3 linked regions of the Arabidopsis thaliana genome follow. The protein of the gene in region 1 interacts with the protein of each later gene in a pairwise test. Each region holds a gene or a part of one and is shown in the gene's direction. Other genes may lie near its edges.

The links.
Region 2: the proteins of AT3G48510 (region 1) and AT1G76210 interact in a two-hybrid assay, tested with the Arabidopsis thaliana proteins (one large-scale study listed by BioGRID).
Region 3: the proteins of AT3G48510 (region 1) and ECT8 interact in a two-hybrid assay, tested with the Arabidopsis thaliana proteins (one large-scale study listed by BioGRID).

The regions. Positions count from the first base shown.
Region 1 is NC_003074.8:17,966,854-17,970,237, reverse strand, and holds AT3G48510 (AtIII18x5-like protein), read left to right. Parts: upstream 1-1,647; 5' UTR 1,648-1,785; coding exon 1,786-2,670; 3' UTR 2,671-2,884; downstream 2,885-3,384.
Region 2 is NC_003070.9:28,594,447-28,597,748, reverse strand, and holds AT1G76210 (DUF241 domain protein, putative (DUF241)), read left to right. Parts: upstream 1-1,752; 5' UTR 1,753-1,866; coding exon 1,867-2,547; 3' UTR 2,548-2,799; downstream 2,800-3,302. Other genes in the region: AT1G76220 (hypothetical protein (DUF241)), read left to right, coding at 1-219.
Region 3 is NC_003070.9:29,813,749-29,819,607, forward strand, and holds ECT8 (evolutionarily conserved C-terminal region 8), read left to right. Parts: upstream 1-1,721; 5' UTR 1,722-2,408; coding exon 2,409-2,442; exon of another isoform or gene 2,443-2,767; intron 2,768-2,858; coding exon 2,859-2,929; intron 2,930-3,041; coding exon 3,042-3,159; intron 3,160-3,249; coding exon 3,250-3,320; intron 3,321-3,413; coding exon 3,414-3,770; intron 3,771-3,857; coding exon 3,858-4,340; intron 4,341-4,422; coding exon 4,423-4,635; intron 4,636-4,728; coding exon 4,729-4,872; intron 4,873-4,967; coding exon 4,968-5,063; 3' UTR 5,064-5,356; downstream 5,357-5,859. Other genes in the region: AT1G79260 (nitrobindin heme-binding domain protein), read left to right, coding at 23-91, 199-318; NUA (nuclear pore anchor), read right to left, coding at 5,428-5,859.

The DNA.
Region 1 (3,384 bases):
AGCTAAAGCTGGCGATTAACAAGATAATCCTAGAAACTAAGCCGACGGATAACAAAAAATCTTTGGAGACTAAGATTTTGGTTTGAACTCTTATGAGATGTTTATTATTCTACCCAAAAAAATAGACTTCAAACAGATTGAATAATGTCTTTTTGAGAATGTTTTTAGCTCATCAGAAATTTAAAATGGTTTGGACAGTAATATGTATCTGACGCATATAGAAGATTGAAACTAATTACCATCTCTTGAGAAAACAAAGTTACACAATCAAACTCTTTGTTTGGCATAGGTCCACTGGCCTAAATTTTTTCTTTGTTCCCATTTGCAAAAATTAGATTCGAACTCGTAAAACATATATATCAAGTCGCTAATAGCCATTAAACTCATTTACTGGTCAAACTATAACTGTTATTTGTCAAATCCGTTATTGTTTGAATATGTCTATCCTCAAAAGAAGATCTCGAAGCAGAAGCTCAAGTAAAATTTATATATGTATTATGAATGTATCCAAGTTTTGTCCATAAGAATTCCTCTAATATTAATAGCTAAATTAAGGAAACACCTATAAACCAGATATAGATGATTATACTTGTTATAATCATTTACTATAGATAGGTACAATAGGAGTATATTTGATTAATCAATATTCCTTCTTGATATTTCAATAACGATTACCTAACTCCATTGGCACTAATCTTTATTTTTGTCACCAAATCTTTAAGTTCATTTACGCATGAGATCATCTTGTCCCCTTTCAGATCTAATTTGTCACAATCACTTTAAATTTAATTAAGATGCCATTCGCTTTAAATTTAGACTTGGTCAATGATTATAATTATAATCGATCGACTCATCACCTTTTGAGTCGTGTGACTCGTGCGTATAAAAACCATTTTTGTTGTCAGATATTTTAACTTGATTTTGCCATCTCTTCACTATTGTTACATCAGTAAATCGCTTCGTAAGTGGAGATTAATTTGCAAATTTTGGAACTAATTACTGACCAGTGATCCACTCTATATATGGTTGTATTAGTACTTGATTGGCAAATAACAAAAAAAAAACTTAAATAAAAAAACTGTGTTATTCTTAAATTTATAGTATATGGATTAGTTTTAAGAGTGTGGTTGGGAAATATACGAAAGTCCAAGAATCTTATTAGTTCGTTCACAATTGTATAGGGATGTTGTCACTAATTTTAACCAAATTATACCTTTTTATCTTTTTGCCTAACATTTTTTTGACGTTGCCCCAAAACGAAGCAATGAGTTGAGGGTTAGTGGTAAAAATAATCAAAAAGATTATATGCATAGATTTATGTGAAGTTAACCAAAAAAAAAACTCGACCCAAAATACATAATCTTCAACAAGAACTATGTTTTCTTCTTGCAACAAGAACTATCACTCCTGTCATAGCATAGACCAAACTTTTTTTTCTCCTACACTAATATATAAAGTTACAGTTCTTTTTACTGAACGGTAAAATTAATGGTTAGAGTTGGGAGAATAACTTAGGCAAAAAAACAAAAAGAGAGAATAACTTTCCATGTGCAACCCAAACCCTTTACTACTGTCTTCTAGACCCAACACAACCACAAGCGTGCAGGCAAAGACACGTGTCCATGTCACAACTAGTATAGACTCCAACACGTGTCCAGATCACAGACGTTATAAAACCCTTACCATTTCTGTTCAGTGTATTCCTCAGCTCAAGTAAAGCTTTTACCTAATTCTCAAACATTCTTTACACAAAAATATCAAGAGTGATATAGATAGCGAGAAAAAATGGACGGTAGGGGAGGGTGTTGCATAGCTAGGTACGCCATTGGCTCTGGACCGTACGATCTTTCCAAAGCAGATCGCATCATGCTTCGATTTCGTCCCATTGCTCCTAAACCGGCCAGCCCCGGCGGAGTAAATCCCGTATCCAGCGGAGATAGCGGCGGCGGAAGCTCCGACGTTTCCTTTAGATCAGCTAGTAGAAGAAAGAGGAAATGTCATCAGCTGAAGGAGAATGGTGGTAACGCCAAGAGGTGCACCCGGCGGAAGACGTCGGATAAACCCGTCGTTCACGGCAGTGCTAATGCGGTGACTCTTTCTCTATTACCGGAGAAACCTATAGATCTTAAGGCGGCGGTGGAGAAGCAGAAGCGGCAGGGTCCGTTATGGTTGAGTTTCAAAGACGGCGGAGGGATGCTCACACCGGCTTATCAGACACCGGAGATTGTGCAGAGGACGGTGGTGATTTCGTCGTGTATGACGGTGGAGCGTGTAACGGACGCTTGGATTGACGGTTACGGTTTAGGGAGGTCAGATGAAGAAAGGAAGATGAATCTTGTGAGAGACACGTGTCCTGGTTTCATATCCGACGGTTCAGGGAGAGTCACGTGGACTAATGACGCGTATCGGAAGATGGCTAGGGATATTATTCCCGTGGAAGAAGGTGCACCGGAGATAACTAGCGGCGATAGTTTTCACGTGATCGTACGGTTGGTGATGAGGGAGAGGCCGATGCTAACGTCCCCTGGATTCACATGCAGAATGAAACTCCAGTACACGTGTCAAAATCGTGAGAGAGGCTCAGTCACGGTGCCTTGCGACGTGTGGAGAATGGACGTCGGTGGTGGTTTTGCTTGGAGGCTCGACGTTAAGGCCGCTTTGTGCCTTTGACACCGTTAGATCAACTTTAGTCACTATGGGCACGAACATTACACATGATATGTCCTCCAATGATAAAATATGGATTCAGAACTAATTAGATTTCTAATGGTTTAACATATATTTATGTCGTTTTTGTTCTTATGCCTTCTTTGTTTTTGGTTGTTTTTTAAATAGTTTTTTATTTAAGAATTTTTGTAAAAAATGCATCTTTCTTTTGTTTGTTCTTGACGCATTTGTGATGCTAAATTTCAAGCTTGTTGCTTAAAAATAATTAATGAAGGAAAATTTTGTAAGTATTTAATGCGTATCGTCGGTGCGGTTCCCACCTATATTGGACGCATGTTGTGAGATTTCACGGCAAGGACGGTTGGAAATTACGGTCCGAGTGATCGTCCAAACATGCAAATTCCAAAATGGTCCAAAAAATGTGAAACATACCATCTTGATTGCTACAAAAAAGTGTGAGCGAACCGGTCTTACTTTGAGCTAGTTACTCACTTGAAGAGATATTTCAGTCGAACTCATCACATTTTGATTTTGATATTTTCTTTTCTTTTGTCGGCACTCACGTTTTGAGGAAACAAGGAATATAAGAAAGTAAACGACCCAATAAACGTGATACGTCGGAGCAAAAGAAAACAAAAAAGGAGGGTGAGGAATAAATGTTGTACTACAGCTTTGAATGTACTACAGTCTACCTGCGGTAAAAGTGCGATATCTAAT
Region 2 (3,302 bases), on another chromosome or scaffold:
GAGGTAGTGACGAAGGATCAGAGAGATCAAAAGAAAGGATCAAGGAGAGGAATTGTGTCGAGGATTTTTAATAAGAAGAATCAAGAAGTTGATGTGGATGAGCTGAAGAAGTTGAGAGAAACAGAACATGAGATTGAAGAAACAGAGAAAGAGTTGGAGTGTGTGTATAAGAAACTGTTGAAGACAAGAGTTTCTTTTCTTAACATGCTTACTCTTTGAGATTGTATAGATGTAATTTTGTTCATTGTGAAGTATTGTTGGCTTTAGTTTAGGCAAAGTCTCTCAGATCATATTGATCTTTAGAACTTGTAAAACTTTGTGTGCAGCGTTCTTAAATCATATTCAAACGATTACTTGTCAAGAATACGAGTTCGAGATAACAATTATCAGCAGATCACTTCAGTACTCTATGAATATTTCATAAGTTTATAGTTATACAATCATGAGACTGATGAGTGTATCAGTTTTCTTATCAGAAGTTGTTGCAAAACAGAGTAAGGATGAATTTGAGATAATGGGCTTATTAATTGAGTTTCATGGGCTTTATTTTATGTTTGATGGGTTGTTTGCAAAAAAAATAGCTAAAGAAATTACGCAATAATGTCTTATTTTCTCTGTGTGTTTTTATAATCACGCAATAATGTCTTCTTATTTCTCTTTTTTTAATCACGCAATAATGTCTCTACATGATGATGACAACAGAGAAAATATAATGCATGGTTGATTATTCGTTATAATTAGTAGCTATACCTTCCAAACGGGAAATCGAATAATAAGATTGCTGCACTAACAACATAATAAAAATGAAAGCATTTCAGCATTTGGAGTTGGAGGGATATGAATCTAATTATATAATTTGTGGGAAGATATTAATTTGTTGAAAATAACCTGAGATATAAAGATCTTAAACATAAAATCTAATCCAGGATGTATTCATGCGTCGAGCCGTCGAGGTGGTTACCTGATTGATAGAGAAATTAGACATATAAACATATATGTATTAATGTATGCGTATTATTACTGTCCACGTTATAGAAAAGGTATATTGGTATTTGTGTGAAACTGTGAATATTTCGCTTGTCCAGAAACATATATTGAGAGGTTAACACGTAACACAATGTCACAATCGCATGTATTGCCAAAGATAAGTTCCGGTTTTAAAATGATTATTGATCATATATTCATATTGATCAAGTAGTTACCATTATTTGTTTTCTGTTACTGTAAGACTTATATTACTTTCTTGTTGGTAATTAATATATCCATTTAACTTGATACATAAAACATATCTGACAAACCCTTAACATAATATTTAAAGTCTGATCCAAAATCTAAACATTTCTCATCTCATTTAATATTCGTCCGTCTGTTCCAAATTGTTGCAATTTACCAACACAGCCTGGCACCGTCGCTCGTGCATGCATGGTATATAGTATATAATTAAACCTTAAGACTATATATTAGAATAAAAATCTTTAAAACTATATATTATAAATTGAAAATCTAAACGAATCCACAATGTACCCTAATCCACGAGTGCCTCTTACGTACAAAGAAGGTTCCTTGTGACATGTTTTGAATCATTTAAATCATTGTTTTGATAATACCTCCAAAATGAGCTGTTCCCCGGATGTCCCACGTCCGTACAAAAACCCAAACTTGGGAACCTTCATCGTACTTTCCCTCAGATCCTTCTTAACCTCTATATATAATCTCATTCTTACACACATTCAATATATCTCTAATCTTCGCTTAAAACTCTCAAGAAGCCCTAAAAACCATTCACAATTACATCAAAAAATACCTTTTCAAATTCTTTTTTTACATTCATAAAGCTAAGTATCTCGAATAGATTAAGATCTATCTATGGCTCAGATTAACTTTGAGGGTTTGAGAGAGCTACACGACTGCGTAAACTATCTCCTCCATCACTGTCCGAAAACAAGAGAATCTCTGTCTCAACAAGGACAAGAGAAATGGACGGAACAAGTTTCAGAAGCTTCATTGAGGATGTTAGACATCTGTAACGTATCCAAAGATGTGATGACGCTCGTGAAACACAGCTTGCAAGATCTACAACTGACTCTACGTGGCAACGAATCATCTGATGTCAACGAGAAGATAGCTGCGTATAATCGGTATAAGAACAAGCTCAAGAAGGAGACACTGAAATGCTTAAACTGTTTGAAGAACATGAAAGGAAACGAAGGAAGAGTGGCCATGCCAATAGAACAGAACCTTCTGTTTGTCACAGAAGTTTTGAAGGAAGTGAGAAGAGTCGTTGTGACGATGGTTGAGTCTTTGTTCTCACTTGGTTGTATTCCTTGGCTAGAGAAGAGATCGAGCAAAGGGTCTTTGTCTTCGATCTTTTCCATTCGGTCTTCCTATTTGTTAGATGATGAATGGGACGAGACTGCGGTGCAAAGCGCGACTACGAGGTTGGAGGCGGCGGAGATTACTGTAGTGGAGCTTGAAATAGAGTTGGAATCTATTTTCCGGCGATTGATTCAGACGAGAGTTTCACTTCTTAATATTCTCACCAACTAGATAATATATGATATGTCCGGATCGGTTAGGTTTTGCTTCAAGCGGACATGTTTAGTTAACATTAAATAGATTGATTTGTAAACTTATTTTCAAGTTTGCAACATCAAATTCTTTTATTCTATATAATTTATTTTTTTACCCGTTTCCTAAACTGGCTACTTGGATTAAAGACTTGAAGTTGAAGGCACACTTTTTGTCTTCACCAAAAATAGAGTCAAAATGAAATTGTTATTCAAGTAAAATTTGAATTATAGATGTTTGTTTATTTATTCACAATTCATGTTGCTAGAATAGACATTTTCAATTTGATGATTTTGCATATTTTTTTTGGTTTTCAGATATAGTTATAAAAACCATTAACAAATTCAGTTTCGTAAGTGTTAATTTGTATACTTAACACAGCGAATATAACTAATTTCTAGTGTTTCTTTGTAATTCGTATCATTGGAGGCTGGATCTAAAAACACGAATCTCGCAATGCGTTTTATTTCAAATTAATTTGTTGACAGCAAAATAACAACATGATCAGGAAGTGCAACACACAAGTAGTAACTTAAAACAGAAGCAGCAAGTCTTACAAAGTTGTGTACAAAAACAATTCACGTCTTCTTCACAGTTCTCTTTATTTCGACATATGAAGCTGAAAATTAAGAAAAAAACAAGAGACGATCCTTTTTTCGTCATGATCTTCAAAGGTTCAGTGAGACCTAGCAGCAAAACCCAAAACCAGATTAGTGTCAAGTAGTTTGAGCAAT
Region 3 (5,859 bases), on another chromosome or scaffold:
TTTGCTGAATCTCTGATCACAGAAAGGAACATACAATGTAGATGAACAATCAATCAAACTCAAAAGTGATCTTGTGGGAAACGCTTCAAAGGTTTCAGATTAATTCTCTTTGTTATTATTTATTCAATGTCTCTGTCTCTACACACAACATTTTTGTGTTTCTAATTGGTGATTTATGGGGTTTTTTTTCTCCAACAGGTGAAGGAGATAAGTAGAGAATTTGAATTGGTTGATGGAAAACTATCGTATGTGGTTCGTATGAGTACAACCACTAACCCTCTTCAACCACATCTCAAAGCAATACTCGATAAGCTTTGAATCCAAGTTCCTGTGAAATCGAAACCTGACACGACCGATGTGATATTGAGATGCTTTGATTTTGATATGTAGAATCACTCTGTTTAGTAACAACATTTGATACTCTTTGTAAGATTTTGGTTACCAAAGTGTTTTGTTATGTTTTGTTCTTGTAAGCACAAGTAAGAAGAAGATGACAATTTGAGAGTTAAATGGGCTTTTATTAAAAGAGGTAAATAGGCCCATTGGCGCCTATATACGTTCAATTTTAGCATCTGACGCCTCAATATTAATGATATTCTAATTGACTACAATAGCTTTCAATAATTACAAGATTGTCCCCATATTTATTTTCTTTTTATACTATTGCATACACATTTTAGAAATTATGAGATGAGCACCGAAGTTATTATCGAAGCAAAGTCAACAAATTGAAGTAAGATTAATTCTCTACAATTATATAAGATTTGGTTTAATAATTGTAAGATGCAATCTTATAAACTTAATTAGACATACGTAATCACATATAACAACAGAAATTTTAATACAAAAAAAAAAATAAAAGACGGAAAAGAAAACAAAAGAAAGAAAATCATATAGATGTGAAGCAGACACGTTTAGGCCACGGCAATGACAAAACGTGGCACCTTGTAATTCTCTTAAGCTCCATAATTTTGGCTTATTGTATTAAATAGTTCCATATGGTGTTTCTTATTTTTTTTTGGCCTATTTGGCTTTTTATGTGGTGTTGACAATTATAACTTGATCCCTAAGCAATATCTACTTTGGATATAATACAAATGGAGCAAAAACACAACACTTTCATTTTTGAAGAAAATTATGTAAGGTGATTGTGTGTTTATTAGTAGTCCCAATCTAATAGAGAGAAATTAAATTCTAGGAGTGATCATTTTCTAGGATAGTTAAAACTTATGGATGACTTTCATATGAGTTTAGATCTGGATTTTGGTGGGGGGACATAAGAAATATAGATGCATATGTAAGTGTACACAAATGAATGGGCCACTTGACACCTAATGATACAAATTTTCAAAGAAAACTCAGATTGCAATAATGGAAGCATATCAATAGTAGTATGAGATCTCAATCTACAATCTTCAATAACATTTAAAAAATAAAATCCAACAACAACTGTAGCGTATAGGAATTGTTCATCTCTTTTCATCAAAGAATATTTAAAATTTTGTTAGACAAGAATTAATTAATGATTTATATGGTTGAGAAAACTTTTTAAAAAGTTGTAAAACTCATCGAATAATAAATCATTTTTAATGGAAAATATAGTTTTTATTTTTATTGTGTGGTATTGCTCGGACTCAAGGATACATGGAGAGAGAGGCAGAGTCAAATCCAATTTTTCAACTATCTTATATGATATTCTTCTGTGCTTTTTATAGTTTGCCCGACCATAAGAACTGGTCCTAACTTTCATTTTTTTTGTTTCCATAGAATATGTATTCCTATGATTTTTTTTTATAGAATTAATTGTGTTAGTTAATGCCAAATTAAGATTCTCTTTTTTAAAATCACTTTTTGAAGAAGCACTTACAAGAGAGTTGTGTTAAGAATAGATTCCAGATGGAAAAGTTGGCAAGAAAAGATGTTTTAAGTTTTTGCCTTGTCGTCTAATCCAACGGTCGATCTTCGTTCATATCAAGAATCCTTATGACGTGGACCATTCTCTTCCCTCCATCTGTACCTCTTCCCAACCTCTATTTTTTAATTTACATCGAAAATAAATAAGAAGGATTGCAAAAGAAAAAATAGAAAAAAAACTCTCTGTTCTTCTTTCTTCTTCTTCTTCGTCGTAAGCCATTACCATTTCTTCTCCCTCTCTCTGTTTTTCTTTGTTGCGTATCTGTACTTAGTTTTCAAACATAAAAATAAAACATATCTTTAGCTGATGTTGTCTTCTTCTTGATAAACAGATTTTCTACAGCTTTTTTTCTTTCTAATTTAATAATTCTTGAGACTTTTTAAAACCCTCTGCGAAACAGATGATTCGAGTTTTGGTTTCTTCATCTGTGTTTTGATTTTTTCGTCTTTTATTCTTAGTCAAACACATAAATTTCTTTTACTACTCTTCGTAGATGACTTCTCATGTTCCAAAACATCCTCGTAAATGTACTCTTTCTCTCTTTCTTTCCTACACACACGTGTTTAATCTGTGTTGTTCTTACACGTCTTTTTAACTTTTGCGTTTGACCTTTTATCTGAATCCTGTGTTTGTGTGTCTGTAAATATATATATGTGTGTCTATGTGTATAGTGCTCTGTTTCTTGTGATTAGACTCATATGTCTTATTTTCAATATTAACTATAAATATATAAGTCACGCCTAGTTATTAGTTTTTATCGGTACGACTAAATATTCAGACATCAGTTCACGTTTCAAACCTGTCTCTTCACATAGTTAAGAAAATAAAGGCATCAAAAAGATTACTAGTAATGTTTGTGTCTACTTTATACATACATATGTCTTGTTTCTTTGTGTTTTTCAGAATCTGATCTCTTCGGGAACGTTTGTTTAATTTGTTTCAGCCTTTGAAGATATGGTGAAGAATCTTAAAGTGGATCCTCTTGCTAAGGTCACTGCCTCCACCACTTCCATGGTAATAAAGATTCTCTCTTCTCTGTTTATTACAGATGATTCATATGTTTTGGTTCTTAGGATGATTTATCAGTTATGTGTTTTTGTGTTCCTTTTGTTTTGCAACATTAAAGGTTTCTGCAAAAGAGAATAAGAATCAGTCAGAGGCAGAGCCATCATATTATGAAACTCTTGAGACATATCAAGGCCTGCCTTGTCCTTATGGTGGCTACTATGGATACTACTATCCAGGTTTTGCTTCTTTTTACACACTGATACTATATAATATGTACTCAATTCTGCTTTTAGATGATCATAATCTGAATTAGCGTGTTTTTACAGGTCTTGATGGTTCAGTTGGAGAAGCAAAGGATAATGGATACTATGGTTATGGAACAGAAGTTCAGTACCCGGTAATCAAAACTTCCTTGTCATGAAGAGAATGAATTACTCACTCGGGTGACTCGATCTTTTTAACTGACCATTTTCTTGATCTTGATTTTAAGGTAATGCAAGGGGAAAATGGGTCTGTGATCTACTTGATGCCAGGGTTTCAGTCTTATGATGCAAGCCAAACTTATATGCCTATAAACCCGGTTGGTGTATCGAGTCAAGCACTTCATTCGCCGATGTATGCTGCTCAGGGTTATTATCAGAACCAATTTGGTTATGCAGATGTTTCATCGCCCACATATTTATGGGACCCTGTTGGAGACAGGTATGTGTATGGTGTTGCTTCATATACCCCACCCTTGAAACAGAACATATCTTCTTCAAGTCATAACCACAACAATTATTATTCAAAGAGCAAGAACTCCTTCACGGGTCACGGCATGGGAGATCGTCCTAAAACACCGCGAAAAGTAACATTTACACTCTTTAATTCTTCTCTCTTTCACATTACCTGAAGAGGTTTGACTCATCTTTTTTTCTTTGTATTGATGCTATAGGCATCACAGAACAGCTATGCCCCACCCCCACTGCTTAACCAAGAAAAAGGTCGCATTGCTTACCCGATGGACCCAGTAAAGAAAAAGTCTGGAGCTTTAAATCGGGATGAAACAGAGAAGGCGAAAGCGAGGACAAAAGAAAATGGTACAAGTATGAATGACTTAGCAAACGGTCAAGATCATATTACCAATGGAGAATGTGAGTCATGTTCGTTGGATGCTGAAGGGAATGAAAGAAGCAACGGTGTTGGTTCTGTGATCAGAAGGGATCAATATAACCTCCCTAGCTTTCAGACCAAATACGAGGAAGCAATCTTTTTTGTGATAAAATCGTATAGCGAAGACGACATACACAAGAGCATCAAGTACAATGTCTGGTCTAGTACTCTCAATGGGAACAAGAAGTTAGACAGTGCATATCAAGAATCTCAGAAGAAGGCTGCAGACAAAAGTGGAAAGTGCCCGGTTTTCCTGTTCTTCTCGGTATGCTATTAGGATTTTTCGCTATATACGTATTCAGTTTTGCGACGTCTTCATGGTCTCTGATCGATTTTATTGGATTCAGGTGAATGCAAGTGGCCAATTCTGCGGTGTAGCTGAGATGATTGGACGAGTTGATTATGAGAAAAGCATGGAGTTCTGGCAACAAGATAAGTGGACTGGCTATTTTCCGGTGAAGTGGCACATCATCAAAGATGTTCCAAATCCGCAACTACGACATATCATACTAGAGAACAATGAGAACAAGCCTGTAACCAATAGCAGAGACACACAAGAGGTAACATTAGTTCCTTAATAGGCTTAAGGAAGTGAATCATTATCAAGAGCTAATCTCATCTCATACTGTTTAAACATTGTCCTTCATATATAGGTGAGGTTGCCTCAAGGGAATGAAGTGTTGAACATCTTTAAGAACTACGCAGCTAAGACATCTATTTTAGATGATTTTGATTTTTATGAAAACAGAGAGAAGGTTATGGTACAGAAGAAGCTAAGGTTCCCTCCGGTATTAAAGGTCCTTAGTATTCTCCTCTTTATATCTCTCAATCATGCTCTTTTTGTTCTATGTATTGTATTCTAACGAGAATGATCTTATGTCTATGATAACAGAAGAAAGAAGAAGACTTGGTTGCTGATTTTAAAACAATGGAGATGTCTAATACAGTCGAAGAGGGAAACACAGAGTTAACCGGGACAGTGAGCTAACTAGAAGAACATGTAGTGTTTTTGGTTTGGTTTTTTAAGGATCAATATAAACCGTCCGATTGTTTCGGATTGCTTTGATTTTATTACAAGCGAGATGGCTTCTTCTTCTATTGTTTCGTTGTATGGTGTAATGTTGGGTTTTTTCTTCACTTTTTTTTTTTGGTTTTGTGTTGTGTTTATGATATGTTTTGCAATTTGTAATCATTGGCAAAAATGATAGGTTTGATTTTATAGTGATATAAGAAAACCGGGATACAAAAAGAAAAGAGGTTTAGACATAAAATGAGTTTCTCTACCGTTATTAATTCTCTCTTCAAGGAGCCTCCTTGGATAAGTCTAATTGTTCAACCATACCCACTAAAAATCATGGTGGGCTCGGGGATTGTCCACGTCCACCACGTGGGGCTCGACCACCACGAGGCAACAATCGGCCTCCTCCTCGAAGGTTTACAGTTCGACCACGAGCTCCTCTGGTGGCTGGATTAGGAGCTCGACTTACTACTATATTGGCTATTCTTTCTCGTCTTTTCATCTGTGCTCTATCAGCTAGTGTCACAATAGTTGAACTTCCACCACCTGGTGACGGTGCTCTTTTTGGATCTTCTGTTTCTGGAGCTCCGCTTGAAGTAATAGCAGAAGCTAGAGTAGAGGAAGTTGTTGGAGCGGTAGAAACAGGGGAGGTTGTAGCTGCTGAGGTCTCTGGCTTGATGTCAGTTTCTGGTGCTTCTTGTTGATCATTAGCATTGTTAGGTATATCAGCGGCTTCTTCAGCTGCATCACCTCCTTCGTCGGTCTT